Cricetulus griseus: one gene and its partners. The protein of the gene in region 1 purifies or fractionates together with the protein of each later gene. This does not show direct contact. Links are inferred from orthologs where the notes say so. Each region holds a gene or a part of one and is shown in the gene's direction. Other genes may lie near its edges. The genes, in order: Ddx20, Gemin4 and Snrnp70.

Region 1 (10,485 bases):
TTTCAGGGCTGATCACTTTGTATTGAACACCCAATGAAGGGGCTCATCCCTATGAGAGGCTAATTCTTCCTCTCTTAGCAGTTCTTTTTCTATCGATGGGACCCATGAGCTATCCCCAATTCTGTGTTAGCATGTCTAATGATATTGGCATTGTTCTGGTCTTGTTTATATAGCCATTTCTAAGGGAGATTGTTTCACAGCAGAATTCCTGGCATGCTGGCTCTTATAATCTTATTGCTTCCTCTTCTGTGATGTTCTCTGAGCCATTGATGCAGGAGCTGTGCCTTAGAGGTTTCTATTGGGGCTGGGCTGATACACAGATCTCTACGTTGTGTCCAGTTGTGTTTTCCATTATGGTCTCCATTTTTGGCAAAGAGAAGCTTCCTCCTCCTCCTCTTCCTCCTCCTCCTTACTCCTCCTCTTCTTTTTAGACAGGGTGTAGTTCTGGCTGTCCTGGAGCTTGCTCTGTAGACCAGGCTGGCCTTGAACTCACAGAGATCCACCTGCTTCTGCCTCTTGAGTGCTGGGATTAAAGGTGTGGGCCACCATTGTCTGGCTAAGAGATGCCAGACAATGTGATGAGGGGTGGTAGCTAAACTTACTTGTGAGTTTAAGAATAATATTTAAAATGTAATTAGGAACTATGTTGGCCTAGCAAAATGGTAGTAGTAGATTCTCTTCTAAGATCCATGACCACATTAGTCACAGGAAGTTGGGCTAGGTTTCTAGTACCAGGTGTGATTTTGCTGCTGTTGAGTGGGCCTTCAGTTCAATTACACAGCTGTTAGTTACCACTAATATTTGAGTGCCACTATTGTGCCTTTGTGGATATCTTGCCATAATACTATTGTGGTTCATAGGCATTGCAGCTGGTTAAGTGTCTTACCTTCTTTAACTGCAGAATGGGGATGGTAGTATCCATCTCATGTGGTTGTGATTTCCCCACAAGAAGATGAGCTTCATAAATGTTAGTTATCCCCATTGCCACTATCACCACACCCATCTCATTCATCACTATTCACCATCATCTTCCATCATCATTAGGATAGACAACAGCACTGTCATCTATGTTCTATTTGCTTTGCTTCTCTGTTTATCTACAGGACATCCCACCAGAAGAACTCCATGGCTCATGTTTATAGGACCCTGTTTCCTCTTTTTATTTCTGGTTTGCAATTTTTATTTGATTGCAATAAGAACAGGGCACAGATAGAATACCTGAAGACAAAATCAGTGATCCTTCTAAAGACATGATTAATGATCCTTTCCAGACACATATTTACTCTGTGGTCCAGGCTGGTCTAGAACTACTATGTACCCTAGGCTGGCCTCAAACTTGTGCTGATCCTCCAGCCTCAGCTTCTCAAGCTCTGGACTAGAGAGCACAAGCTGCCATGTCTAGTCTAGCTGCACTTACCTAACTACCAGTTCAAGCTGTTCAGTTAACCTCATTTTTATAGTTTTAAAAACTACATTCAAATGTCTTTTCTTCTAATAATGCCAAATATATTATCAAAATAGACAAAGTGAATACTTGAATCCTCTCCTCCCATTTCTTGAGGGTAAATGTCTTTATTAATATAGTATGCATTCTTTTGGGTATTTTCATTACACATTAAAAATCCGAATACTTGGTGGCACATGCCTTTAATCCCAGCACTCAGGAGGCAGAGGCAGGTGGATCTCTGTGAGTTCGAGACCAGCCTGGTCTACAAGAGCTAGTTCCAGGACAGCCGCCAAAGCCACAGAGAAACCCTGTCTCGAAAAAAAAAAAAAAACAAAAAAAAAAAACCAAAAACAACAACAAAAAAATCCTAATACTGTATATACTGTAATGGTAGAATAAAAAAGTGAGTATGTATGTGTTTGTGTGGGTGTGTGCATATGACAACATGTATGTGGAGGTCAGAGGATAACTTGCAGGAGTCACTTCTCTCCTTCCACCATGTGGGTCCCTGGATGGAACTCAAGTAGTCAGGCTTGGAAGCAAGTGCCTTTACCCAAGGAGCCATCTTCCAAATCATAGAAACCTTTTGAAAGCTATGATTTAAAAAATTGTGGTCAATACACTTATTAAGTTTAGCATCCTAGTGATTTTTAGGTGTACAGTTCAAGTATTAAGTAGAGTTATATTGATGTGAAACAGGACCTCCCACACTTTTTCGTCTTACAAATCTCAAACTCTAAACCCATTAAATAACAACTCTTTGCTCATCTCCCTACCCTTGCTAACAACCATTTTATTTTCTACATCTATGAATCTGATTCACACAAATGGAAACATACAGTAGTTGTCCTTCTCTAATTGGCTTACTTCACTTGGCATAAGGTCCCCAGGGTTCATTCATTTTGTAGTATTTGTTAGAATTTCCGTCTTTTATAAGGCTGCTTACTATGCCACTTTAGTTACACATTTTATTTATCCTTTAGTATACTTTTAGTATGCCTCTTGAAAGTGGATGTAATGTGACTAGCTGCTTCAAGCTCCTACTGCCTTGAGTTTCCCACCATAACAGACTGTACCTTGAACTGTGGTCCAGAAAAACAAAACCAAACCCCTTCCCCTTAAGTTGCTTTTGTCAAAGTATTTTGTCACAGTAACAGGAAAAGAAACTAAGAGAGGAAGGAAGAAGTGAGGAATGAGTCACTCTCTGACGGGGAATGTGCTTAAATAGTAAAGTGTTTGCTTAGTATGCCAAAGTTGTTTCAACCCATAGGAAAGAGAAAAGCAGACAAAGGAAGTCATTTCAATGCCTCTGTGGTGCATGGCCTGGGCAGAGAAGAATCTGGACTGGGAGGCCAATAGGGAAGGGTTCAATAGTTAGAGTGACCAAAAGACCATGAGTAGATACTATATTGAAAAGGAGTGAGGGAGATATTTGGAGACATCATCTGCCAGTAAATTGTCAGAAAGAGGGTGAGGGCAAAGAGTGGATGAAATACGTGAGCAGCTAAGAGGGACCTTATTAGTTCCTCTTCCTTCACATGGCTAGTGGGTGCTTGCTGAGTATTTTGTAAATCAGTAAGCAAACAGAATCCATCTCCAGCTCCCACTTCTAGTGAAATTTCCTTGCCAAAGATATTTCTACACAATTGGGATATGGGAAACAAGACCAGAATTATACGTAGGGACAAATGAGGTTTGTCATAGGTCTTGTCAACTTGAGAGTAATACTCAGCTAGGAGAAAGACTCTGCAGGTGTGTGTGAGAGGAAAATAGCGTTCAATGTGTCAGATTTTTGTTTTTCCTCCTAGTGGCAGAAGAGAACAAGTCAGAATAGTTTCCTGCCTTCGGGGGAAGTGAGGGAGACAATAAACATTCATGAAGAGTGACCAGGGGTGATAAGGCACACACCTGTCATCTCAGTATTTGGGAAGTCGAGGCAGGAGGCCAGTCTGAGCTGCATAGGGAGACTTTGTCGAAAAAGAAAGAAAGAAAGAAAGAAAGAAAGAAAGAAAGAAAGGAAAAGAAAGAAAGAGAAAGAAAGAAAGAAAGAAAGAAAAAGAAAGAAAGAAAAAGAAAAAGCCAACCAAGCTAATCAAACCAAAAATCAAACAAGTGGTGAGAATAACGGGAAAGGCCAGGGAGCAGGCAGGACGGGGGTGACTAAAGATTTCAAGAAAGACCTCTTACAACAAGGTGACATGTGAGCGGGTCCAGAGGAAGGGGAAGTGGTGTGCTAGTTGCCCACCCGAGATCGGAAGGAAGGGCAGACAAAATGAGTTGAACCGGAGAGCTCTATTAGCCTGGAGATTCGAGAGAGCGCCCACGCAGAGCCTGGGAGTTGGCGGTCCAGTCAGTCTCCCGCACTGTGCTAAGGGGCTGGGGCGCCGACGTGACAGGGCTCTCCGAGGGCAGGGAACCCCGTTTTGCTGTGTTCCGGGGCGCTGTCTGCGAGCACTGAGGAGCAGCGGGGAAAAGTGCGGAGGACGAAGACTTCGGCGCGGCCTCAGTCAAGCTAGACCGGGGCAGCGGAGCCCAGCGGCGGCCGAGCCTGACGCTCTGGCTGCGTCACAAAGCGCGCCGCGAGCGCCGGGTTCCGGAGCAGCGCCGCGCGGCCCGTCCGTCAGAGCCGCGGGAGGCGGGCGGCGCCCACCGCGGGCACGCGACGCCCTCTGCAGGCCGCCGGCGGCAGCACTGGTAGCCTCATCTTCCTCGCTCCTCCCGCCTCTTCCTCAGGCTACATTTTTGTCCGTCCCCAGAGCGCCAGCCTCCGACTTCCGTTCGTTTCCTCCACTTCCAGGCCGGGTGCGTCCGTGTCTTCACCGAGAGACTGACAATAAAGTTTTTTCCTCTTCTCGCTCCCAGGAGCCCCGCCTCGACTCCAAATATCGCGAGATCTCGAGGCGCGGCTACCATGGCGGCGGCATTTGAAGCCCCGGCGGCCTTGACAACCGCGGAGTCCGCTATGGCGGCGGAGCGCGCGGCCGTGCGGTCCCCGGCCGCGGAGCCGACTCCCAGCTCCCCGTGGAGCCTGCGGACCGCTCACGACATCGGCGGGCCGCGGACGCGTACCGGGGACGTGGTGCTGGCGGAGCCCGCGGATTTCGAGTCGCTGCTGCTGTCGCGGCCGGTGCTGGAGGGGCTGCGGGCGGCCGGCTTTGAGAGGCCGTCTCCCGTGCAGCTGAAGGCCATCCCGCTGGGGCGCTGCGGGCTCGGTGAGGACCGGGGCCGGCCGCGGGCGGGGGCCTGGCCCCGGAGAGCTCCGGCTCCGCGCCTTTGCGGGGCTCGGCAGTGCTCGAGGCGCGCAATTGGATCGGAAGGCGCCGGGTCCAAGCTGGAGACGAGCAGCGGTAGAGATTCGGGGACTAAGGGGCTGGAGAAATGTCTCCGTGGTTGATGCACGCCTCGCGCGCGCTTCAGGGTCAACTAAAAATATAGGTGACAGTTAGGTGGTCTTAGGAGAGAATCCGGCCGTTCCCTGGTCCTATATTGGTATCTAGTTGCTTCAGCGAGTCTTGCTAATGATACCTATTCTTTTTTTCTTTTCTTTTTTTCTTTCTTTCTTTCTCAGATTTAATTGTTCAAGCTAAGTCTGGCACTGGGAAAACTTGTGTATTCTCCACCATTGCTCTAGACTCCCTTCTTCTTGAAAACTACAGTACTCAGGTGAGTAACTCAGAGGATCCAGACGGGGGGTGTGTAGCACGTGGCCTCTAGCTAGACTTATGAAAAACTACTGACTCCTCACAGATGGTGTGTTTGATGAATCGGAGAATGTGAAACCGTAGGAAAATTACAGAAGTAAACTACATAGATGGTAAGGTCGTTGAGTTGTGGCCGAGAATATCATTATTAAGTTTTTTTTTTAAATTTGGAGTCTTCTATAATTACATTTTGAATATGTGTTACTTAAAATCATTATGCAATTAAGAAACTTTTTCTTGGGCTGGAGAGATGGCTCAGTGATGAAGAGCAGTGACTGCTCCTTCCAGAGGTCCTGAGTTCAATTCCCAGCAACCACATGGTGGCACACAACAGTCTGTAATGAGATCTCCTGTCCTCTTCTGGCCTGCAGGCAGAACGCTGTATACATAATAAATAAATAAATCTTAAAAAAATTTTTTTAAAAAAACTTTTACTTACTAGATTGGGGTTAGAAATAAACTTAAAAGTTTTGGTTTATATAATACGCTATGGCAGAACTTAATATGGTTGTGGTTTTTTTGGTTGTATCCCCCCTCACCCCCAAAGGGTTTCTCTGTGTAACCTTGGTTGTCCTGGAACTTGCTTTGTATATTAGGCTGGGCTCGAATTCACAGAGATCCTCTTAATTTTAGGTTGCCTTGGAATAGTTTGAAGATTGTCCTACTCAAACTAGTAGGAAATATGGGTTTGGGAGATAATTCTTCAAAAAGATTTGTTCAGTTAGTAATACATGCAAATACTACACTAGGCACTGGGGATTAAGCAATGAGTTGGATGTGGTCCTCCCACCATCTTCTGGAGTGTAGTAGTATAGTAACTTTATTTCAGGTTAAGAAGTGTCTGTTGTGATGATGAATCTTGAACAGTGTTGGTTTTTTTTTTTTTTTTTTTTTTTTTTTTTTTTTTTTAACCCGGGATCCTTGTATTTGTTGTCTAGGAATCTTTTTGAGCTCTGTATCCACCACATTCTGGCAGATACTGAATATAACTTAAGGACAGTGGCTAGTCTATTTGTAAATTAAGATGTGTTTGAGAGAGTTTGGCTTGTGACACTTGGCAGCATACCAAATCCTAAACCTAAGTAAAATTCCCTTTTTTTTGTTAAAGTATTTATATTATTAAAGTGTGTGTGTGTGTGTGTGTGTGTGTGTGTGTGTGTGTGTTTATCAAAGTAACACTACATAATTGTTTTAAGTTGGGAAATTTCAGGGAAAAGAACAAAGTACCAAAGAACTCTAAATATGTGATGTGTACCCAGAGTTAAGAGATTTTTAAAAAAATATATTTTTATTATTTCCTTGTCTTTTTTTTAAGCAATATTTTCTTATAGTGACAATATGTATGTTCTGCAGTTTTTACTATGTGTGGCTCTCATGGCCTTTGGAACCTAACTCTGGGAGTTAACTCTGAGATAGAGTCCTCTTAAAATCTTAGTACCTGGGCCTTTTTGCTGCTCCTTATGTGTACCTTAAGGCCTTTGGATTTGCTTTTTCTTTTTCTGAAGCACTGCTTCTGGTGTGTTCCACAACTAGCTCTATGCTGTATGTCTCAAATGTTACTTTCTTATGGGACTTTTAAAATTCTTTGTTTGTTTGTTGGAAGCAGGCACACTCTACCTAATTCTAGCTGGACAGAAGCTTACAACATAGACTAGTCTTCAGTTTGAGGCAATCCTCATATCTCTGCTTCTAGAGTGTCGGAATCATAGGTGCATGCCAAAACGTCACTTCGGAAGGGCTTTCTGATCATTTAAAATGATTTCCCTTGTCAGGTCTTTCTTTTTTCCCTATTTGATTTTTTTTTTTAAATAATACTTTTTATTACATGTATATGTTTTTGTTTATGTTATAACCAAAAAGTGCCAAGAGAGCAATTCTTTCACAACTTGTATGTTTTCTCCCATATAGTACGTTCTTAATAATTAACCGAATAAATGGAATATTTTCTCCTGTTTTAAAACTCCTCTTACAATGAAAAGTAGTGTAGCATGCAATGAATGTATCACTCATATGTATTCTTCTGACTTGTTAAAGTAATATTTATAATTTATTTTAGATTTTGATATTGGCTCCCACAAGAGAAATTGCTGTTCAGATACATTCTGTTATCACAGCCATTGGAATAAAAATGGAAGGATTAGAATGTCATGTCTTTATTGGAGGGACTCCATTATCTCAAGACAAAACCAGACTTAAAAAGTGTCATATTGCTGTTGGATCTCCAGGTGAGTTACTAATACCTGTTGGTACCTGATGTTCTTTGTGAAATGTAACACTGAATGCGACTATAGGTAAATGGGAGTCTTTGATCATGGGGCTAATTACTTTCACTAGAAGTGAAGAGCATTAGACTAGTGAAACACATGGCTGGATTATCAATAGAATCTGCTTGTCTCCATTCTAAAGCTTGTTTGGGATTTCACTTGGGATAGGCTTCTGAAATAATGACCTGACTTTCAGGAAGCCTGTCTAAGCCATGGGTTGAGATTTCTGTTGTTCTTTCTGGTAATTTGCTCATAAATCACTTAGAATCTAGAATTCAATCCCTTAGCATTTGAGTCTTTTGATAGCAGTGGTGCTTGTTTTCCATATCTATCGATGATGAAAAGTGGGAGGGGGGAGGGATTCAGGCTAGATGAGAATTTAAGATTTCTAAGATTGTGCTGTGTAGTATGTGAATGTACACTGTGAAGAAATTCAGCAGTATAACCTGTGGATAAATACAGTAAAAGCATTCCTGAGGGTTGTACAGATTTGATGTCATGAATATTTCAGCTTTTATTTTTTTCCTGGCATATAGGTAGAATTAAACAGCTCATAGAACTTGACTACCTGAATCCGGGCAGTATCCGTCTCTTTATTCTTGATGAAGCAGATAAGCTTTTAGAAGAAGGCAGTTTCCAGGAACAAATAAAGTAAGAAAACTAGCTTGACTATAAAAATGTTGTGTCTAAGTGTTTGTCTATGGCTTTTACTGGTAGTGTTTGCTGTCTGCGTAGTTTTCACAGTATATGTTTTCTTGTATTTTACAGTTGGATTTATTCTTCTTTGCCTGCCAGTAAACAGATGTTGGCAGTATCTGCTACTTACCCTGAATTTTTGGCTAATGCTTTGACAAGGTATATGAGAGATCCCACGTTTGTAAGATTGAATCCCAGTGATCCAAGTCTCATAGGTACGTACAGATTTTGCAGAATTATTTTGTAACACTGTGGAGCTATGACCAACCACATCATAGTGGAATTCATTGGATGTTTTTGATTTCATTGTAGGTTTGAAGCAGTACTACCAAGTTGTCAATTCTTACCCTTTGGCTCATAAGATTTTTGAGGAAAAGACTCAGCACTTACAGGAACTTTTCAGTAGAGTCCCATTTAATCAAGCCTTGGTGTTTTCTAATTTGCACAGCAGGTAATAAAACTTAATCCCAGGAACTTAAAAAAGTAAAAGAATAGTCATGAGGCAATAGTTGAAAGCTGTAAATTTATTTATTTATTTATTTATTTATTTATTTATTTTGTAGAGCACAGCATTTGGCTGATATCCTTTCTTCTAAAGGTTTTCCTACTGAATGCATTTCAGGCAAGTCCAGCTCTTTTTTTTTTTTTTGTTTAATGTATTGCTTTGAAGCCTACCATATCAAGAGAGAAAAACATTACTTCTTAAATTGTTTTGTGAGTGTGAGGTTGCACTCATAATAAAGGAAATTTAGGCTTATTTTTCATTGGCATTTGATAATCAGTCTGCTGGATTTTTAAATTTAATTTTTAAAAAGAGTAACTTGGTCTGTTCTAGTTATATTTGCTAAGAACTTAATTCTATAAAACAAAATTTATCTTATTTGTCTTAAGACATTTGTTTCTTCATATAATCACTTATTAAAATACTAAAATTTTAGTATTTAGAGTATAGTATTGCATGTACTCTTCTGGAGCAGGAAGATCGTGGACTTGAGACCATATTTGACTATGTTAAGTTTAAAACCAGTATGGACAGCATAGCAAGACCCTGTTGTCATAGAAACACATGCTAAGACTAGCTGAGTTATCTTCTCTGCTTCCCCTACTATCAGATTTGGCTTTTCACATGCTAGGTAAGTACTCTCCTTTGGAGCTATACTTTTAGCCATTGAGTTGACTTTGATGGTCTATGGAAGGCAAAGTGACTCACTTCATCCACAGTTTATTAATTGCTGGATTCATAGAAAAGATTTAAAGGAGTTTTTGGTTAATGAGCTCCTTCCAGTTTTATATGTTGTATTGAAATTCTTACTTTATTAGGGGGAACATACTCAGTGTGAGATATCAAGGAGACTAATTTCCTAATGGGCTGATAGCTCAATCTTGGATCACATTTCAAAATCAGAATTGTGGTCTAGAGAGAGTACACAGTGTTAAAGCACTTCCTGTGCAATCATGTGCACAGGAGTTTGGACCCCAGCACCCATATAACAAGCCAGCTGTTCTTATTCCTAGGGATCTGATGCTCTCTCCTGGCCTTTGAATGCATAGGCACATACAACTGTATACAGTCAGATAGATACATGGATACAGGCACACACAGATCCCCCCCCCCCCCCCCCCAGTGTTTTTCTGTGACTTTGGAGGCTGTCCTGGAACTAGGTCTTGTATGGTCTTGAATTCACAGAGATCTGCCTGCCGCTGCCTCCCGAGTGCTGGGATTAAAGGCTTGCGCCACCACTGCCTGGCTCTCACAGATTCTTAAAACAAGATTTGTAAATAATTGGTAATAACCCTTTTCCTAAAAAGTATGTCTTAGACTTTGTAATGTCACCATTTACAATTGATTTTTGAATTTCAAATTGATTGCCTAAACCACACTTTGAAAAATAATGACTTCAGATTTTAGCATTCAGATTTGCACAGGATAGAATTAACTGGTTTGTGTATTTCTTTAAAACATTAAGAATTATGATTCTTGCTTATTGTGGATTTGATAAGTATATCTTAGCTTAAGTTTTTGTTACTGTTTTTGAGATGGGATCTTATGGAGTCTAGGCTGACCTTGAATTCTGGCTCTTTCTGTCTCAACCTCTTGAGTGCTAGGACAACAGATGGCAGGCATGCACCACAATACCCAGCTTGCTTAGGTGTTTTAAAATGACTTAGTTTTTTGGTTTTTCTAGGTAACATGAATCAGAATCAGCGCCTTGATGCTATGGCGAAACTGAAGCAGTTTCATTGCAGAGTCCTCATTTCTACAGATTTGGTAAAGCTCTAGCTAGGTTTGGGTGACTGTCTGTCTTGGGGTGTGTTGTTATTAGATTGCTGCCCTATTTCATGTATCTAGCAGGTGTATCTGGTAGGTGCCAGAGAT
Region 2 (10,447 bases), on another chromosome or scaffold:
TCCCATCCTCAGAAGTTGGTTCCTCCCTCCCCCCTTTTCCCATTCCCTTTCTCCTAATTAAAAACAAAACAAAAAAACTTCATGTGAGCTGTCACATGGCATTTTTTTCTCTGGTGCCACTTTGTTTTTTAATTACAAGTGTTTAGTGAACAAAATATTCAGTGAGTCACATTTCTGTGCCTGATTCTGCACTACTTTTTTATAAAGTGGTTTTAGTCTTTAAAATGGATTAATTTATTTCTTCAGCCTGAAAAAATATTTTATTGTGATTTTCTGTTTGGTTGATGCAGGCAGGTGGTTTCAGTCATTAAAAAGTTTTATTGAATGCATTTTTTATTAAAGCTCTTTGGAAAGGATGGAAAAGAGTACTATTTAAAAATTTGTAGACTTGGGCTGGAGAGATGTCTCAGTGGTTAAGAACACTAGGTGGCCTTCCAGAGATCCTGAGTTCAATTCCCAGCAACCACATGATGGCTCACAACCATCTGTAATGAGATATGGTGCCCTCTTCTGGACTACAGTGACACATGCAGACAGAACACTATATATAATAAATAAATCTTTAAAAAAAAATTGACTCTTCTTGGTGGTGCACACCTTTAATCTCAGCACTTGGTAGGCAGAGGCAGGTGGATCTCTGTGTGTTCAAGGCTAGCTAGGGCTGTTACACAGAAAAACCCTGTCTCAAAAACAAACAAAAAAACTTTAGGGCCTACAAGATAGCTCTGTAGGTGGTGGTGGCACCTACTACAAAAGTCTGGCAACCTGCTGGGTGTTGGTGGCGCACGCCTTTAATCCCAGCACTCGGGAGGCAGAGGCAGGCGGTTCTTTGTGAGTTCTAGGCCAGCCTGGTCTCCAGAGCAAGTGCCAGGATAGGTTCCAAAGCTACACAGAGAAACCCTGTCTCGAAAAACCAAAAAAAAAAAAAAAAAAAAAAAAGTCTGGCAACCTGAGTTTGTTCCTGTGAACCTGTGTAAAAGTCAAAGGAGAGAACCAACTCCATAAGTTGTGCTCTGACCTCCACATGCAAACTTAACACACTCACTCCTGCCACACCTACACATAGAACACACACAATAATAAATGAAAATATTTTAATGATAAAAAATATACTTTATATCCATCATGGTGGTTCATGCTTGTAATCGCACTCTGGAGGAAGAAGCAGATGAATCTCTGTAAATTGAGGCCAGCCTGGTTCACACAGTGAATTCCAGGCCAGCCAGGCCCTATCCCCTAAACCAGAATAACTGACTGATAACAACAAAACACCTTTAGAAACTTCTGTTATAGTGTGGTGATATTTGTTTATGATCTAACAAATAAAGCTTGCTTGAAGATCAGAGTGCAGAGCTAGCCACACTAGTTAATCATAGAGGCTAGGCAGTGGTGGTACACACCTCCCAGGACTCAGGAGACAGAAGAAAATGGATCTTGTTAGTTCAAGGCCACCCTGGGGTACACGAAATTGATCCAGTCTAAAAGAGAAACAGAGCCAGATGGTGGTGGCTCACACCTTTAATCCCATTATTTGGGAGCCACACGCCTTTAACCCCAGCACTACGGAGGTAGAGGTAGGAAGGGATATGGCTGGGTGGAGAGATGAATATAAGGCAGGGCAGTAAGTCTGGGGATGCAGTCTGAAGACAGGATTGCCCCTCTGGTCTTAGCATTGGTAGAGGTAAGAACTCCAGTGGCTGGCCGCTCTGCTGCTATGATCCTTCACCCTTCACCCTGGTAGCTGAGAATTTTTACTACATTTATATGAATATATTTGCTAGGGCTTAAACCCAAAGCCTCAACATGCCAGGCAAGTGGTTATATCTCAGATGGAAGACAAGTTTTGAAGAAAGTATTGGAAAATGCCATGCTATTGTAGAGTTCTTCAAGAACTCTAACACTTCATATGCCAGCTTTCCAGGTACCATGGTAGCACACCGATGTCGCTGAAATGATTGACAAAGGGTACCCTGGCACTTATGTGAGCCACATGTGCCTATATACATGTTGTCAGGGTCCCAAGCAGAAACCTAGGTTAAGAAGAGCAATCCTAAGAACATTTAGGTTGCTAAGCCTTAGATGAGTCTTTTGGATGCTAAGATTCTGAAACCATCTTGCTCCATTGTCCCTCGGCTGCTGTGTTGTGATGCATGAATTATGTCACCACCTTGTCACTCAGAGTTTGAGCTCCATCAAAATACTAACTTCACTGGGCCTGTGTTCTAGATGAGGGCTTTTCTATTTGACTTCAGCTCTTTAGAAGGCAGAGCCGCTTTCCCCTCTGTATTGTTGGGTTCTTGGTGAGTTGACAGCCCTTGATACAGGTCCAAGCTCTGCCTCACTTCCGACCTTGGTCATTTTCATAGCGTGATTCACCCCTACCCATCCCCTCTTCTGCCAAATATCCATCCACATAGCCAGTCAGACCACACAAAGCATGACTAATGGAGTTTTAGCCAGCAGAGGTGCTTTTACACATTTGAACTGCTTTCCAGGACCCTCACAGAGTTGCTCTTTGACACAGACTCCACTCTTGTGCCGTTCAAGTGATTTATTGATGTCTCCGCTAACCTTGCTACCCTTTTCAGTATGTTTCAGCCATCAGGAGTTCTTAAACCCATTCCCCACCAGTGGAGCCACTGCTATTTCCTTGTGTCTGCCAAAATGTCCTTAGCCAGCCTCGTTTTTCTTTAGCTCCTCCACTTTGGCAATATAGATCCTCATAGCATCCATCTTGGACATCCCTTTGTTCACATTCCACGCTTCCCATTTGGCCTTTGCTCTCACATCTGTGGCTGGAGGGACGGGGATGTTACAGTCGCCCTGGGTGGCCTGTTTGTAGAAGCTGTACACCAGCAGTTTCTCCTGATCGCTCACAGGACCCTTCAGCTGCTTGAGAGAAGCGCAGGCCATTTCAAACTCCACTTGGCTCATTGTTGCACCAGAGGCTGTGTGTGCCTCTCTGTTCTAGTGATACCTGGTACTAGAAGAGAGTTGGGAATAAGCAAAGCAGACGATTATTAGGCCTTGGAAAGAAAGGACAAAGAGATAATGTGTGGGAAGAACACGTGTGTGTGTGTGTGTGTGTGTGTGTGTGTGTGTGTGTGTGTGTATGTGTCTGTGTGTGTGTGTGTGTGTGTGTGTGTGTGTGTTTGAAAAACTACAAGTTGCTGACCAGGAATCCATTCGATTGGCCCTGTCCCACAGTGCTTTGCCCAGTGTGACTGTCCTTCAAACTTACAAAGGCGCCTATGAGAGCTGAAAAGCATTTGGGCATTTCTGTGTGTCTCTGAGGCTGGACGGGGAGCCCCATGGATCCGCTGCTGGTTAGTGGGCAGCCTGGGAAAGGCCATTCCGTTGGAGGTGAATCGTGGGGGTTCCTGGGTGAGAGTGAGAAGTCTGGACTAAGGGATTGGACCTCCTGGCCTCAAGAGAACTGTAATTCCGCAAGGAGCCTGCCTACCTACCTGAGGGTAGACGGCCGGCTGGGAAGCCTAGGGCCGAGAGGGGGCGCTGTGGGCCTGGTCGGCCTCGACGCCGCGAGCTTGTCGAGGAGGACGGAAGACGCGTGCGCACGGAGCAGCAGCCGGGGAGCGGAGTACTGATCGGAAGCCCGTACGAGCTGTGGGCGGTACCTGTGACGCGCCTGTGGCGCCGCCCTTTGTGCCGTGGCGGGGGCACCGCGTTCGCGGCCTCGGAGTGGGAGGGGCGGTCCAGCCCGGCCGCCAGCTTCGCCGCCATGGACCTAGGTGGGTTCGCGTTTCCCTACTCCGGCCTGGTGTCGGGCCGCGTCCGGCAGAGCCCCTCCAGGGTGGGCCGAGGCCCTGTGCTCCTCCAGTGGCGCTCTCCGGAGCCGACTCTGGAGGCCGGGGGTCTGAGGAGTTTTTAGGGACCCGCGGCCGCGAGGCCGGCCTCCAGCCCGCAGCCCGGCCTCGTGTTGGTCTTCCTCGATCCCTCCTCCGCCTCGTGGTCTCTTTCCCATTAGAAAACAGAGAGCGAATGTAGCCCTGGACCCCCTGAAAGTGCACAGGGCTACTGCACGTGTTTCGGAAATGCCGGGCTGGGAGGAACGGACGTCCGGACCGTTCTTCCTTATTGGGTGACTGCCGAGTCGGGGAACAAGTTTCTTAGCAGCTCTCCTGGTCCACAAAGCAGAGATGCTGATACCGCTTTCCTCCCAGGCTTGGCGTTTCTTTGAGACCACGTGCATAACTGGGCGCCTTACGGTGACTTGTGCACAGTGGTGTCCCGCAGCCCTCGCTTTCGAGCAGGGTTTGCAGCAGCAGCAGACAGAGATGGTACTTTTTGAATCCTTTGATTTGGAGTCTCTTAGGCGAGGTCTGGAAGGAGAGCGGCGTTGATAGAAATCTGTGGCCATCTGCCAAGCCTCCCCACCCTGCTAGGTGTGCTCTTTAGAGGGTAAGACAGGGAGGCTGTCCCGGGAGGTACTCCAAGATTTGCAAATAATAAGCTATGGAGAAAGATCTTTGTCCCAGCCAGCTCTTTAGGTAGTTTCATGCCCCGAAGCTGTCAAGAGTTCTGCCATGGCTTGACTCCGCTGACTCAGACACCCTGCACAAATTGTATGTGGGCCTCGAGGTTTCCATCTCTAAAACAGGAGTGGTAATCCTCAAGAAGTTAGTTGGATGATCAAATGGTCTTTTAGGTGTAAAGCTGGGTGTGGAAGCTTATGTCTAACTAGCACTTTGGAGGCAGACACAGGAGGATCTCAAGAGTTCTAGGCCAACCTGCTCTATATAGTTTCAAGCCAGTCCTGGCTACATAACAAGATCCTATGTCACGGGTAAAAAAATGTATGTCACCAAGCCCCGTGCCTACCAGAGTAAGCAGTCACTTCCTAGCACCAGCTACTGATAAAGCCTTGCAGTTTCCCCTAGCTATTAACTGAGTCTGGGACTTTGTCAAGTCACATGTACACAGTGTCTGAAAATCTCATGTTTGTCGGCAGACATCTGCTCGGCTAAGCTGATAAATGCAGTTAAATTGAATTTACTGTTGCGAGGGAATGGTGTTGAGGGCAGGGCAACCTGAGCCAGAAAGAACCCTGCCACAGCAACCTAACTCTGGGCCTTCTGCTACTGTGGAAGCCAAGGTGCATTGCCTTCAGGCCTGGGTTTAGTAGGAGTGTTGATCCTTGACTTGTTTTTGGGTGTGTGAGTAAATGGTTAGTGGCCAAGAGATTCATTAGTTCCCTGGAGTCATCACTTTTTTTCCCCCTGGGGGTAGGGGAGGTTTGAGACAGGGTGTCACAATGTACTTTGGCTGGCCTCATAGAAATCTGCCTCCCTAGAGCTGGGATTAGAAGCATGGGCCACCACAACTGGCCACTGGAGTCAGTATTTTTGCAGCTGACTCTGGCCTATGAGAATGGGGAAAATATGTTCCTTGGAGCATGGGAAACTGGACATGAGGAAGGAAGGGTTAGGCATCTCTGGGCCCTGGGAATGGGTGGGCGCTGTCAGGAACAGTGACCGTGACCAGTTAGTTGTTACACTCTTTTTAAAAAATAACTTATAAAAACAATAATTTTATTTTATGGACATTGATGTGAGGGTTTCAGGTCCTTTGGAACTAGAGTTACAGAAATTGCAAGCTGTCATATGGGTGCTCGGAATCGAACCCAGGTCCTCTGGAAGAGCAGCCAGTGCTCTTGACTGCTGAGCCATCTCTTCAACTCCCAGTTGTTAGAATCTTTAGTTTCTAGGCCAAATTATACACTTTGATAAAGACCTGTGTCCTTTTGTTTTTGCACTGGAGGAGACAAAATAGTGAGAAGACTGGGCCTGCCAACAATTGAACATTTAAATCAGGCTCTTTGTGGTCTGATTATTGTTGCGATAGTAACCTTCCATTCTCCCACCCCTGAAAGATGTTTCGAGAAGGTAACAGTACCAAAATAGTTCCAAAAGTATGACTAGTATATGTTGTATGTCATGTGGTTTTCATGGTTATACCACTGAAGATTATAGTCTGTGTATGCAGACAGACTCAGTAATGTGTAAAGTCACATTTTTGAATGACTGAGCTAGGATTTAAATCCATTATTTGATTAAACTCCCATATTGCCTTTCTTTAAATGTCTTTATCAGTTCTTAGCTCAGTGAATGAATGTTTTCTTGGTTCCTGCCACAGAGCCAGAATGTTCAGTAGTGTCCTTTTTGACTAGAAGAAACTGCTGGGTGAACTTTTTCCCTGTAAGGCCCAGAATGTTGAAACCCATTAGCAGCAGTGTGTTTAGGAAGAAGGAAGGCAGGGCTGGGAATACAGCTCAGTGGTAGAGTGCTTGCCTGGTATATGCAAGGCTTTGGGCTCAAAAACAAAAGCTCAGCTGGGTGTGGTGCATGCCTTTAATCCTAGCACTCAGGAAGCAGAGGCTGGCAGTTCTCTGTGAGTTCAAAGCTAGCTAAAATAAAACAATTACCCTCCCCCCCCAAAAAAAAAATAAAGGCTGCTCATCACCCAGTGTTGGGCTCTCCGTCTGTGTCTTCAGAAGACTGCTTGTAGGAGTTGGTTCTCTCTTGCTGTATTAGGCTAGGGATCAAACTCAGGTCATTAGGTCACTGAGCCATGTCACTGGCCTTTGTCATGTCTTCTAATGCATACTTGGTGGCACTGTCCCCCCAGTCCTGTCCCCACTGTAATCTCAGCAGTCCAGCTTTCCTCCTCACACTTTGCAGAGGGATCTTAGTCTCTTCCTTGGTTTCTATAAACTTCTCTGTGTTGGCACTGCCTATACTTAAATCAGGCCTTTTCTCCTTAACTCATTGCCATTGCTGAAAGACATCACTAAATAGTCAGCCTCAGACTCCAGGTAACCAAAACTGAACTTGTCTTCCTCCCTTTAAGCCTGTCCTTGGGAGCTGGAGAGAGCTCAGTAGTTAAGAACACATAAGATTGTTGTAGAGGACTGGAGTTTAGTTCCCAGCAGCCATACCAGGTGGCTCTTAATCACCTGTAACTCCAACTCCTGAGGGCCCAGATAATTAAAGTAAATATAAAATACTTAAAAAGAAACTTAGTAATCTATTCTGAATCCCTCTCTCCCTGTCCCTGTGGTACTATTCTTCTGATTTCCAGGCTAGAGATCTTAGAAACTGGATTTTATTCTTCAGCCAAGTCCTTAGGACCCTCTCCCTTCGGGAGCTCTTACTAACCGTGCCTTCTTCCTCTCCTGTTGATGTCAAGGTATTATTAACCTTGATAATGATAGCCAACCAGTGACTCTGTTTCTTTCTCTTAGCCTCTGCTTACCATTCTGAAAACTTCATTAACTCTTGACTTCTCTGTGCAGGACCCTTAAATATCTGTGAGGAAATGACTATACTGCATGGGGGCTTTTTGATGGCTGAGCAGCTGTTCCACCCCAAAGCCCTGGAACAGTTGACAAAGTCTGACTGGGAACATGTGGGGCGGCCTATTGTGGACGCCTTGAAGGAGATCTCCTCAGCCACAGCACATTCCCAGCCATTTGCCTGGAAGAAGAAAGCACTGATCATCATCTGGGCGAAGGTTCTTCAGCCCTCTCCTGTCAGCCCTTCTGATACTGATACTCGGTGGCAGGAAGATGTGTTCTTCTCCGTGGGCAACATGATCCCTACCATCAACCACACAGTCCTTTTTGAGCTGCTTAAGTCTCTGGAAGCTTCTGGACTCTTCATTCAGCTCCTAATGGCCCTTCCTACCACCATCTGCCGCTCAGAGTTACAGAACTTTCTGGAACACATGACCATTGACACTTCTTCCAAGGATGTATCCTTCTTCCTGGATGTCTGGTGGGAAATGATAAAGCACAAGGGTGACCAGCAGGACCCCTTGCTTTCCCAATTCAGGACAATGGCCCATAAATACTTGCCATCTTCAGATGAGTTTTCCCATCCTCCAAAGAGGTTTAAGTCTGACCCAGATGTGGGTCCTACCATGCCACTGTTGGCCATGCTGCTTAATGGGCTGAAGCAAATCCAAAAGAGAATCCTGTGCCGCGGGATGAAGTGTTGTGCATTAGCTAACTTGGCTGACATGCTGAGTGTGTTTGCACTGATGGAGGATGACCCCCAGGAGGTATCTGCCACCATGTACCTAGACAAACTAGCCACAGTGATCTCTGTATGGAATTCGGACACCCGGAACCCATACCATCAACAGGCCCTGGCTGAAAAAGTAAAGGAGGCAGAGCGGGATGTGAGCCTCACCTCACTAGCCAAACTCCCCAGTGAGACTGTTTTCATGGGGTTTGAGCTTATGCACAACCTGCTGCAGGAGTGGGGTGCAGAACTGCAGGACATGCTAAACAGCAGTCAGGGGACAAATTATGACACCTACCGGCTGTGTGACAGTCTGACTTCCTTCAGCCAGAACTTGAAGCTCTACCTGGAAACTGCCAGCATGTCCAAGGAGGAGAGGCAGGTGGTCTGTGAACTGGCTGAGTGTGTTAGGGACTTCCTAAGAAAAACCAGCAGAGTGCTTAATGACAGGGGCCTTGAGGACATCACTGCCTCCATTGCCATGGCCATCATTGAGCAGAAGATGGACCGGTATATGGAAATGTGCTACATTTTTGCTTCTGAGAAGAAGTGGGCCTTTTCAGATGAGTGGGTTGCCTGCCTTGTTAACAACAGGTCTCTCTTCAGAGAACCAGACTTGATCTTGAGTTTGCTGGAAACGGTGATGGAAGTCATCAACTCTAACAGGGCTATCCCCCAGCCTCATATCAAGCAGGTGATCTGCTTGACCTTGGAATGCTATGCAGACCTCTCCCTACCAGACAAAAATAAAGTCCTTTCTGGAGTCCTGCATTGTTGGGGGCCAAAGGGCCTCTCGGACAGGTTGTCTGTTTACTTGGAGGGTTTTCAGGAAGACCTCAACACAACGTTTAACCAGCTTGCACAGAGCACCTCTGAACAGGGTCTGGCTAAAGCAGTGACCTCTGTGGCCCGCCTGGTGATCCTGTACCCAGAAGTTGTGGTGAAGAAGATGTGCAGCATAGCTGTGACCAATCTTGGCACTCACAGGTTCCTGGCTCAGATTCTTACTGCCTTCCCTGCCCTGAAGTTCACAGAAACACAAGGGCCAAAGCCATATACCAGTTTCATGGTGTCCTGCCTCAAAGAAACTGTCTGGACAAAGTTCTCTACACCCAAAGAAGAGAAGCAGTTTCTGGAGCTGGTGAGCTGCCTAATGAACCCCGTGAAACCACAGGGGATTCCAGTTGCTGCTCTTTTGGAGCCTGATGAGGTACTGAAGGAGTTTGTCTTGCCATTCTTGATGCTAGACATGGAGGAGGTGGGCCTGAGTCTGAAGCTCTTCCTCCAGACCCTTGAAGCCAATGCGGGCTTGGAGGAGTATTGGCTGCAAACCTGCTCCCCATTCCCGCTGCTCTTCAGCTTGTGCCGGCTCCTGGACAGCTTCAGCAAGTTCTGGCAGCTCCCCCGGGAGAAGCGCTGTCTCACTCTGGACAGCAAGGATCTTGTGACCCACATCCTGGAGCTCCTCTGTGAGATCGTGCTGGCTAATGCAGAGACCTTCTCCCCAGACACCTGGGCCAAGTCCCTGTCCTGGCTCCACCGCAAGTTAGACCAGCTAGACTGGACTGTGGGCCTGAGACTGAAGAACTTCTTTGAAGGACACTTCAAGTGTGAGGTGCCGGCTACCCTTTTTGAGATATGTAAGCTCTCTGAGGCCCAGTGGACCTCACAGGCCCATGAAGGGTATGGGCCTGGCACAGGGCTTCTCGCCTGGATGGAGTGCTGCTCCATTTCCCGCAGTGTCTCTGAAGAGATGCTTTCCCTCTTGGTGGTGGATGTGGGCAATCCTGAGGAAGTCAGATTGTTTAGCAAGGGCTTTCTGGTGGCCCTGGTACAAGTCATGCCTTGGTGTAGTCCTCAGGAATGGCAGTACCTTCAACAGCTGACCAGGAAGCTGTTGGAGAAACAGCTCCTTCATGTCCCTTATAGCCTAGAGTATATTCAGTTTGTTCCCTTGCTCAACCTGAGGCCCTTTGCCCAGGAGCTCCAACTCTCTGTTCTTTCCTTGAGAGCTTTCCAGTTTCTCTGCAGCCAGAGCTGTTGTAACTGGCTTCCTATGGATGGTTGGAGCCATGTGGTCAAACTCCTCTGTAGCAGTTTGACCAGTATCCTGGATGCAGTCAGGTTGATACAGTCGGTGGGCCCCTGGGCCCAGGGACAAGAAGGAAACCTGACTCAGGAAACCTTGTTTGTGTATACCCAGATGTTCTGTCATGTTCTGCATATCATGGCCATGCTCCCCCAGGAGGTCTGCGAGCCCCTGTATGTGCTGGCCTTGGAAATCCTTACCTACTATGAAACCCTAATCAAGACCAACCCTTCTGTCAGCTCCTTGCTCCAGAAGGTTGATGAGCAGCGCTTTCTAAAGTCTATTGCTAAGAATCTTAGCCCTGAGGAGAGGCGCC
Region 3 (10,485 bases), on another chromosome or scaffold:
CTATTAGAAGGTGTGATCTGTTTAGAGGAATTATGTCACTGGGGGGTGGGCATTGAGGTTTCAGAAGCTGGTGCTAGGCTTAGTGACTCATTATCTCTTCCTGTTGCCTGAGAAACCAGATGTAGGACTCTACTCCCTCTCCAGCACCATGTCTGCCTGTATGCCGCCATGCTTCCTGCCATGACAATAATGGAATAAACCTATGGAACTGTAAACCAGCCCCCCAGTTGTTTTCCTTTATAAGAGTTGCTATGGAGCCAGGTGTTGGCGCACACCTTTAGTCCCAGCAGTCTGGAAACAGAGGCAGGTGGATCTCTGTGAGTTCGAGACCAGCCTGGTCTACAGAGAGAGTTCCAGGACAGCCTCCAAAGCCACAGAGAAACCCTGTCTTGAGTCCCCTCCCCCACCAAAAGAGAGAATTGCTGTGGTAATGGAATCTCTTCACAGCAATAGAACTCTGGCTAAAACAGCTGGGATCCTTGCTGCTAGTTCTATGTCTACAATGTGGAAGCAAATGTCCATCCCCTAATCACTGGTTTTATGGTGGAAGCTTTGCCCCAGCCCCTGGCATCCAAAGAGTCTGGGATGTTATGGTGGAGGTTTTACCCAAGTCCCCTCCCCCACCTCCCTCCAAACGCTGATGCTCTCAGAAAGCCTGCCAAATGATGGCCCCTCCCTCAGAGATACTCAAAACAACTCCCACAGGGTATTTAAAGTGTCCCCCAGAGAACAGACTTGTGGCTTTTCCAGTTTCCCATTCCTGTCTCCTCAAGGCCATCCGGGAGCATTGTCTCCATTAAATGTGGGCTTGGATTCCTGCATCGGCAGAGAGGCTTATTGGGGTGTAGAAACTTTTCAACTGGGACCTTAGACTATTACTTCATATGGAAAATAGACTATGAAATGCTTAAGTGAAGGCTTAAGTGAGTTGGGGAATGTTGTCCTGGTTACCTGGATAGTTATTGATATTTATGAGCGAACAGCAGAAAGCTGGATATGTGTGTGCTTGATGATCAAGCATTGGACTAGAATCCCCAGTGGCTGGTGTTGTGATTATTTACAACGTTTTGTAATCTTAGCATTTAAAAGGCCTTAGGTTCCATCTTTAGTACCCAAAATAACTACTAAATAGGTAAGATTAAAAATTGTTTTAAGAGCCAGGTGGAGTGCCTACCAATAAAGTATCAGGAAGAACACAGGACTGAAGGTTTGAGGCCAGCCTGAGTTATATAGAGAGATCCTGAGTGATGGCTCCCAGAGGTCTGGAGTTCTGTTCCCAGGACTCAGTGGAGATGGTTCACAACCACCTTTAACTCCAGATACTGAGCACTCACACCCTCTTCTGGCCTCTTCCAATAGCCATACTTACGTGCATATATCCACCAATACACACACACACACACACACACACACACACACACACACACACACACCACACACACCTTGTATGAGTATCTGCATGTATGACTTTATACAGACATAAAGAAGAGGCCCTCAGAGTCCATTGTAGGTGACCGTGAGCCACCTGTGGTTGTGGTTGCTGAGCTGGGAATTGAACTCAAGACCTCTTAAAGAACAGCCAGCTCCATAAAAATCCAGTTCTTCAACAGCCTTCATTCAGTTCCAAAAATTATGCTATGCTTAAATGAAAAACAAAATTGACATTAGTGTAATCCAGATGTCTAACTTTTCAACACTACTGTCTGAGTCCAGGAGCTGCCTGTCTCTTCTCCCTTTCCCCCGAGCACTAGGAATACAAACAAGTTCTGCTACATCCAGCTTTTTTGTTTATTTGTTTAATTTGCAACCTGCCCTGGAATTTTTGCTGTAGACCAGGCTGGCCTTGAACTCACATAGAACCTGTCTCTGCCTCCCAAGTGCTGGGACTAAAGGTGTGCACCACCACTACCCAGTTTACATCCAGCTTTTTACGTGATTATTGTGGATCAGAACTCAGTTCCTAATATTGTTTGGTATAGATACTTGAGACACTGAACTGTTTTATCTATTGAAGCAAAGGCTGGGCTCATAAGGGCTGTCTGGGCTGACCTTGAACTGTGTAGCTCAGACTGATGGCAAACTTTTAGCCTTCCTCTCTCCATCTTGCCAGCCCTAGGATTACAGGCATGCACCCCACAGCCAGTTTACCAGGTGTCTTAACATTGAAATCTGGAACCCATTCCAACCTAGTCCCTTTCCCCAACTTCAACCTGTCACATCAAGGGCTCTGTCAATAACCAGTGGCTTCAGATACAAAGATAGGAGTTGTGCTGATTATAGAGGGAAGGTGAACTACATTTAAAAACATTTCAACTTATTTTGAAATAGTTTTTAAATTATTTTTGCTATTGTCATGTGTGTGGGTGTTTTGCTTGCATGTATGTCTGTACACAACGTATATGCGTGTTACTTGTGGATGCCAGAGGATGGCACTGGGGTCCCCTGGACTGGAGTTACAGATAGGTGTGAGCCCCACATGAATCCTGGGGTCCCCTGGGACTGGAGTTACAGACAGGTGTGAACCCCACACGAATCCTGGGAATCAAACCCAGGTCCTGTGTAAGAGTAGCCAGTGCTCTTAACTGCTGAACCAACTTTCCAGCCCCTTGTTCTGGTTTTGGAGGATTTTTGTTTTGTTTTTGAGACAGGGTAGATCAGACTGGAATTATACTCTCCATTCTCAGCGACCCTATACTAGGAATACCTGTGTGAGACACTGAGCCCAGTTTAAGGGCTTTTTAAGAATCATGTCTTGGGGACAGAACCAAATCTTCCAGCGTGCCTGGCAAGTGCTCTGCTACTGCTTCACACCCTGCCCGCTGTCTCCTTGCCCCAATGCTTTTTGTTTGGAGGTAAAGTCTTACAAACCTGTTTGATGGGACCATATTTTACATGAAAATAAAACATTCCTGGATCATTTGCCAAAATATGATTAGGAGCGACATAAAATTCTGTTTCACTTTCTATTTACTTATTTTTTAAGACAGGGTCTCACTATGTAATTAGCTGTCTAGCAACTCCCTACGGAGAGACCAGACTGGCCTTGAATTCACAGACTCGCCTGCCTCTGCCTCTCCTGTATTGGGATTAAAGGTGTGTTTGTGTTTTGAGACATCTTTTTAAAAAAATATGTATATGTGGGGGCACCTGAGTGCGGGTGCTGATGGGAGCCAGAAAAAGGTAGCAGGTGTTTGTGGGCCACCATTGTGGGTGCTGGGAAGGAGACTCTTGACTTCTGCAAGAACAGCCACACTTTCAACCTCTAAATCATCTTTCCAGTCCCAAGACTGAGTCCTGTATAGCTCAAGCCAGCTTGAGCCCCTAATCATCCTACCTCCACTTTCAAAGTTCTGGGATTATAGGCTGCCAGGGAACACAAGCCTCTTGCTGGAAGTTTGTGGTTCTATAGAAGAGTTCTTGTTTCTCAGAGGACCTGTGCACAGTATTGAAGGCTGAAGTGCCACTGCAATTTACTCTCAGATATCCAAGAAAAGAATTGTGTCAGGCTGGAGCCATGTCTCAGTGGTTAAAATTGGCTGCTACTCTCAAAGCAGACCTGAGTTTGGTTCCCAACACCCAGATCAGGTAACAAACAATGTCTGTAACTAAAGTCCAGAAGATCCAATGCCTTCTTCTGGCCTCCTTGGGCACCTGTACACTAACAGACATACGAAAATAAAAACAACCAGGCAGTAACAATGAGTTGGAGATCAGCCTTCACTAGAGCAAGACCTGAGTTGGCAGAGTGATTAGATTACCCAGCATGCAAGGAAGCCCTGAGCTCAGGATGAAGAGATGGCATCACTTTCCCAGAGGACCTGACTTCAGGTGCTAGCACCCAATATGAGAGGCCTGGAACAACATATAACACCAGCTCCCAAGGGCTACACCTTTTTCTAACCCCTGGGGGCACCTGTAACCATGTGCACACCCCCACCACAGACTGACAGAAAAGACACACAATTAAGAAAACACAACCCTGCTGGGTATGGTGGCACGCCCATTTAATCACAACTCCCAGGAGGCAGAGACAGGAAGCTCTCAGTGAGTTTGAGGCCAGTCTGGTCTACAGGGTAAGCCAGGGCAACCAGGGCTACACAGTAAAACTGTCTCAGAAAGCCAAAACACATACACACACACACACACACACACACACACACTGCAAGGTAATTTTGAGCCAAACGGTGAAACCTTGTGTAAAAAAATAAAGAAAAATAAAACAACAGAACACACAAAAAAGAAAACCCACTAAACAAACGTATTATATTTCCAAACAATGTAAGCTCCAAGAAGACTATTTTGTCACATGTTGTGTCCCTAGAGTTCAAACAGTGTCTAGAACATACAAGACACTTGGGAGAGAACTTATCCATTAAATAGAATTTAAAAGCAATGACCCGGGATGGAGAGATGGCTCAGAAGTTAAGAGCACTGGCTGCTCTTCCAAATGTCCTGAGTTCAGTTCCCAGCAACCACATGGTGGCTCAGAAGCATCTGTAATGAAATCTGGTGCACTCTCTGGCCTGCAGGGACACATGCAGACAGAACACTGTATACACAATAAATAAATCTTTAAAAAAATGAATAAATAAAATAAAAGCAATGACCCTGATGAGGTAGGTACTTTTTAACAGTCTGCGGAAGGATATTCCACCTGGCACTTTACGTTCACGCATGCGTACAGGGTCCGGGAAGTGTAAGGGGAAAGGGGTGGGGCATCAGTAAGTGTCTCGCGGGCATAGGCGGTTGGCTAGAGCGCGAGGTGGGTGCCGACCTAGTGCCTGAGCACGCATGCGCACGTCGCTTGCCAGGCCAAGGCAGCCTAAGCATTGAAGGACTCTGACGGCGGAGTCTTGGCTTTGCGCGTGCGCAGTGCTCGCTGTAGAGCCAAGACCTCAAAATGGGTGTCTTTTGACTCGTGCGGCGCATGCGCGGTGCGTGCGGCGGAGGGATTCTAGACCGGATCCCTCTCCGTTCCTGTCGCGAGCCGAGGCCGCGCGGGTTGTGAGGAGCGGCCTGGTTTGCGCGCGCGGCGCGGACCTCTGAAGGTAGCTGACGCAGACGCCGCCGAAGTGGAAGCCAGAGCGGGAGTTTTTGTTGGTGAACGGCGGCCGCGAGGCCTGAGACTAACGTCAGGCCGAGGAGAGCGCCGCGCGGTGAGTGAGTGAATGAGTGGCCTTAACGGGGTTCGGGTCCGCTCTACCCACAAGCCTTTGCGGGGTCCCCGAACTCTCTACCCGCGCCTGAGGCCCGCTTACCGGGTCCGCGCTTCAAACCACCCCATCCTTTACCCAGAGTCCCCTCAGCGTCCCCCTCCCCCTGCCTCTCGCGGTCCCCTACCCACAGGCCCTTGCGTTTTATGTGTTGCCTCTTTTCCTCGCTTTTTTTTTTTTTTTTTTGTCGCATCCTGGATCTGTACCCATAATTCCGTTCGCCTCTGGGATCCTAGATATTTTACGCAGATCCCCTGGCTTGATCTTTTTGGACTACCTTGAGACCCCTACCTCGTAATCTCCAAGGTATGAGGCCAGCAACCCTCTGAGCTTAGTGCTTCAGGTCTCTAGGTCCCTCACCTCCTGATTCCTTTTCCCTTGTTTTCTGTGTTTTTAGTCCTTTGTTTCTCAGCTCCTGCCAAGACCGACCTTTTTCGTGCAGATGTCTTCCACCGGCTCACCCGGGATAGATAGCAGCGTCCTCGTGATCTCTCCTGTCTGCTTGTTTGATTTTGAGTGAAGGGGTTCTAGAGGGAACCTCCTGTGCTAAAGTTCCCTAACCTAAGGTTTCTGGTCTCAGGTTTGGCAAGATGACACAGTTTCTGCCTCCCAACCTTCTGGCCCTCTTTGCCCCTCGAGACCCCATCCCGTACTTGCCACCCCTAGAAAAGCTGCCACATGAAAAACATCACAACCAACCTTATTGTGGCATTGCACCATACATCCGGGAATTTGAGGTGAGTAAAGGGAGACATGGGGCCTACTAGAAGGGCTTGGGTGCTGAATGAGAGCAGGCTGCATTTTGGAGTAGAGATTTTAAACATATTTTAGTTTTGTGGTTTATGATTTTACTTTTCTTAATCTTGTTTTTGCATTTGTGTGCGTTCTATTTCTTTTATATTAAGTTTTTAATTTATTAGTTTTTATCTTATATGCATTGGTGTTTGGCAAGGATGTCAGGTACCCTGGAACCAGAATCACAGACAGTTGTAAGCTGCCATATGGGTGCTAGGAATTGAACCCTGGTCCTCTGAAAGAGCAGTCAGTGCTCTTACCCACTAAGTCACCTCTCCAGCCCGTCATTAAGTGTTTTTGTTTTTCGTTTTTCTAGACAGGGTTTCTCTGTGGCTTTGGAGTCTGTCCGGGAACTAGCTCTGTAGACCAGGCTGGCCTCGAACTCACAGAGATCCACCTGCCTCTGCCTCCCGAGTGCTGGGACTAAAGGCGTGCGCCACCAACGCCCGGCATCGTTAAGTTTTAATTACACTTGTATTTGTGGTGTGTATGGATGTGTGTGTGCAAACCTATAAACCTATAAGGGGGCAACTTGAAAGAATCAGATCTCTCTTTCCATTGTGTGGGCTCAGGAGAGCAAGCTGAGTTTGTTACCTTTGGTGAAAAGGGCCTTAACTTGCAGAACCATCGTGCTTAGCCCCTTTGTTTGAGTTTTGAGACAGAGTTTTGCTATGTAGTGTAAATGGACAGATCTACAGACCTCTTAGTGGCAAGCTTCATTCTCCGACCCTCAAACAGGCTTTATTTGTACAAGCAAGACATTACCACAGTGTAGCTCAGAGTGGCCTTGATGGTATACCAGTCCTACTTAGGTTCCCAAATGCTGCAGTTAATGGGTGTCCACTTCCAGGACCAGCTAATTTCCTTTATTTATTTTGGATGTAAGATAAACGGAAAAATTAAGTAAAAAGAAAGAAATGTAATAAACAATACCTATCAAAAGAATTTTTTAAAAACTTATTTATTTTAAAAACTTATTTATCATATGCATGCTGCTTCCTTGGTGCCATAAAGCCCCTGGAACTGGAGTTACAGACAGGTGTGAGCTGCCATGTGGGTGCTGGGAATTGAACTCAGGTCCTCTGGAAGAACAGCTGGTGCTCTTAACTGCTGAGCCATCTCTTCAGCCCCATTTTGTCTTTTTTTTTTTTTTAAAGCTTGCAGAGATACATCTACTTGGCTTTGTGCTCTCAAGTACTCAAGTACTGGGATTAAAGTCTTGTGTCTCCACTCTTTGGGGTTTCTGTTTGGAACTGTGGGGAGTTGCAGAATTCCTTTGGGAGCCATGTAGCTTTTTGTTTTGTTTTGGTTTTGGTTTTGGTTTTTGAGACAGGGTTTCTCTGTGACTTTGGAGCCTGTCCTGGAACTAGCTCTTGTAGACCAGGCTGGCCTCAGAACTCAGATACCCGCCTGCCTCTGCCTCCCGAGTGTTGGGACTAAAGGTGTGTGCCACCACTGCCCAGCTACACTGCCTCAGTTTCTTGAGTGCTGGGATTAGAGGTGTGCACCCCTACCACCCTGCTTTTTTTCTTCTTCTTCTTGCCAGGTAGCTTTGGAACTGTACTTTACAGCTATGTAACTTATGTTACACTCTGATGAAGAACAAATGTCTACCAGTCATTGTAGGTGCTTTTTTGTTTTGTTTTGAGACAGGTTTTTTTTCTGTGTATCCTTAGCTGTCCTGGAACTCACTGTGTAGACCAGGCTGGCCTGGATCTCAGAGATCCACCTGCCTCTGCCTCCTGAGTGCTGAGATAAAAGGCGTGGACTACCACCATCCCTGGTGATTGATGCTTTTGCTAAATACAAGGGAATTGTTTCTGTGTTTTGTTTAAAAGTACCTTCAAAAATGATATTTTTTTCTTTCCGTTTAATTATTCTAGTAAAGTTACTTGGGCTGTCCTGGAGCTTGCTCTGTAGACGAGGCTGGCTTTGAACTCATAGATCTGCCTGCCTCTGCCTCCTGAGTCCTGGGATTAAAGAGGTGCACAACCAACACCTGGTAGAGATGTTTGTATTGTCCTTGCCACAGACCTCCAGTAGTCTGGGCAGCACTGGTCCTCATTGGACCACTTCCACCCTCTGTCTTCTGTTTATACTGGAACTAATGGCACTTGTGTATGGGGGGGAACTGAGAGTCTTTTCGTTGCTGGTATGCCATGCTATTTTCCATCACCTCTCTTGTTCCTAGGACCCTCGAGATGCCCCTCCTCCAACAAGGGCAGAAACCCGGGAAGAACGCATGGAGAGAAAGGTATGTTGTTTTTACGTGAGTCTTTTGTTTTTTCAGAACAGGGTCTTTCTGTGTAGCCCTGGCTGTCCTGGAGCTCATTGTGTAGACCATGCTGGCCTTGAACTCACAGAATTCCGCCTGCCTCTGCCTCCCATGTGCTGGCATTAAAGGTTCGCCGCTGCCGCCAGGCACTTCTTAGTCTTGCTATATTTTTACCTACTTTTTTCCAGAGATCCCTGTAGTCCAGGTACCCCTGCTTGCACTTAACTCTACATTTTCTTTCTATTGGCAGAGACGGGAAAAGATTGAACGGCGACAGCAGGAAGTGGAGACAGAGCTGAAAATGTGTAAGGTTCTCCTCCCTCCTATCAATCTTCCCCTCCAGTCTCATTTTGTTCCTCTTGTTTTTGTTTGTTTGTTTGTTTTTTGTTTTTTGTTTTTTCAAGACAGGGTTTCTCTGTGGCTTTGGAGGCTGTCCTGGAACTAGCTCTTGTAGACCAGGCTGGTCTTGAACTCACAGAGATCCGCCTGCCTTTGCCTCCTGAGTGCTGGGACTAAGGGCATGCGCCACCAACGCCTGGCTTCATTTTGCTGCTCTTACCAGGTCATACCTGAGCCACTATTCTCCTGGGTGCCTGAGAAAGCAGAGTTAGTTCACTTTCCTAGCAACCACTTGCCAAGCATAGCTCTTGGATTAGGCTCTCTGTTTTAAAAGTTCTTGTATGCCTTATTAGTTTTTAAAAAACATGTATGAGTGTATTGCCTATCTGTATGTGGGAGATCAGAAGAGGGCATAGGATTCCCTGGAACTGGAGTTGGATAGTTATGAGCTGCTATGTGGGTGCTGGGAATGAAACACCAACTCCTGGAAGAGCAATCTGTGCTCTTAATCGCTGAGCCATCTCTCCAGCTCCAGTTGGTGTAGGCTTTTAACAGGTAGGATTACCCCAGTCACTTGCCCTATCTATAAAAGGACCACATCCCATTGTGTCTCCAGGATAAGGCATGAGGTGATCTGGTCAGTTGGTCCTGTCTTTATCCCTGGCTTCCTGATCCTGGAAGTGGAGATGCTTTACCATCCAGGTGTGGAGAATTTAAGTAGTGCTTGGTAACCAGACTCAAAAGGATGAGATCTCAGTGTTCTGTATGTAAAGACTCATCATTATCTATCTCCATCTATTGTCTGCAGCCTTAGTGAATCGTTTCTTTCTAAACCATATGCTAGAACTTCTGGGTTTTCTCAAGTGTATTTAGTATACATGACTAACAGATGGGGCATGGAGCTCTGGTTCTTACACCATACCTGGCTAGATGTTCTTTCATGCGCATACTACATGTTGAAGCCACACAATCACCTTCCTCTCCTCCCAGTTCCTAAGGGATTCAACCTTCCCTGAGACATGGCTTTCCAGATGTTGATACTCTGTTTTTTATACCTGTGTTATGATTCTCTAAAGGAACAGAATTGAGAATGGGGAAAATTCAATCAATCAATCAGTCAATCAAGTTCAAAAGGCCAACTGGTCTACCTCCATTAAAAAAAAAAAATCCACAGAGACAACTGGTAAACCTCTATACATTATTTTAAAACAAGACAACTGGTCGACCTCCATTTATGTTTTATATATATCTGTGTCCATGCCGGACACGCAACACACACACACACACACACAGATTAGAGTGGCTGTCTCTCAACAGAAAGGCTAAGAGTCTGTTAGTGTTCGGTCCACAAAGTTGGATATCTCAGCTTTATTCCATGTTGGAATTCTGAATAAGTAGGTTCTAATACCAGTGAAAGAATGGCTCAACAGCAGGATGGATGAACTTGGCAGGAGAGTGAAGATAGGTAGGCAAAAACTTCATTCATTCATGGTTTTATGTTGGCTGCCAACAGAAGGTGTGGCCCTGATTTAAGTTGGATCTTCTTACCTTAAATAATTCAATCCAGAAATCCCCACAGGCATGGGTTTTAGTTGATTTCAGATGTGTTAAAGTTTACAACTAGATTAGCCACAGCATCAATATAACTTTCCCAGCTTATCACCAAGACCTGTCCTGCTACTTGCTAAATGTCACAACATTAGACATTCCTGTCCTCCAGTAGCACCGATCCCTTTTGGCTTGGGCAGTGCTGTAGCAGTGTGTCTTGTTTACTTGACCTTCCCTAGCCAAAATCCTTTATGGGGCTTTGTTAGGACAAGCGCTTATCTCCGCCTCCTGACCTCAGCATAAAAGCCCAGTCTC

The links.
Region 2: the proteins of Ddx20 (region 1) and Gemin4 purify together in Homo sapiens (co-immunoprecipitation; 7 studies listed by BioGRID and IntAct, counting the BioPlex papers as one, with this or other methods). This does not show direct contact. The link is inferred for Cricetulus griseus from reciprocal best matches to the Homo sapiens genes DDX20 and GEMIN4.
Region 3: the proteins of Ddx20 (region 1) and Snrnp70 purify together in Homo sapiens (affinity purification with mass spectrometry; 4 studies listed by BioGRID and IntAct, counting the BioPlex papers as one, with this or other methods). This does not show direct contact. The link is inferred for Cricetulus griseus from reciprocal best matches to the Homo sapiens genes DDX20 and SNRNP70.

Annotation. Positions count from the first base shown.
Region 1 is NW_023276806.1:51,316,490-51,326,974, forward strand, and holds the start of Ddx20 (probable ATP-dependent RNA helicase DDX20), read left to right. Parts: upstream 1-4,330; 5' UTR 4,331-4,358; coding exon 4,359-4,659; intron 4,660-5,015; coding exon 5,016-5,110; intron 5,111-7,204; coding exon 7,205-7,373; intron 7,374-7,948; coding exon 7,949-8,063; intron 8,064-8,180; coding exon 8,181-8,323; intron 8,324-8,420; coding exon 8,421-8,559; intron 8,560-8,671; coding exon 8,672-8,730; intron 8,731-10,294; coding exon 10,295-10,377; intron 10,378-10,485.
Region 2 is NC_048600.1:89,663,652-89,674,098, reverse strand, and holds the start of Gemin4 (gem-associated protein 4), read left to right. Parts: upstream 1-3,617; 5' UTR 3,618-3,739; coding exon 3,740-3,749; intron 3,750-7,312; coding exon 7,313-10,447. Other genes in the region: diazepam-binding inhibitor-like 5, read right to left, coding at 2,671-2,934. UniProt on the Homo sapiens protein: The SMN complex catalyzes the assembly of small nuclear ribonucleoproteins (snRNPs), the building blocks of the spliceosome, and thereby plays an important role in the splicing of cellular pre-mRNAs.
Region 3 is NC_048599.1:154,298,058-154,308,542, reverse strand, and holds the start of Snrnp70 (U1 small nuclear ribonucleoprotein 70 kDa), read left to right. Parts: upstream 1-4,945; 5' UTR 4,946-5,156; intron 5,157-5,416; exon of another isoform or gene 5,417-5,519; intron 5,520-5,793; 5' UTR 5,794-5,803; coding exon 5,804-5,950; intron 5,951-8,199; coding exon 8,200-8,262; intron 8,263-8,533; coding exon 8,534-8,588; intron 8,589-10,485. UniProt on the Homo sapiens protein: Component of the spliceosomal U1 snRNP, which is essential for recognition of the pre-mRNA 5' splice-site and the subsequent assembly of the spliceosome. SNRNP70 binds to the loop I region of U1-snRNA.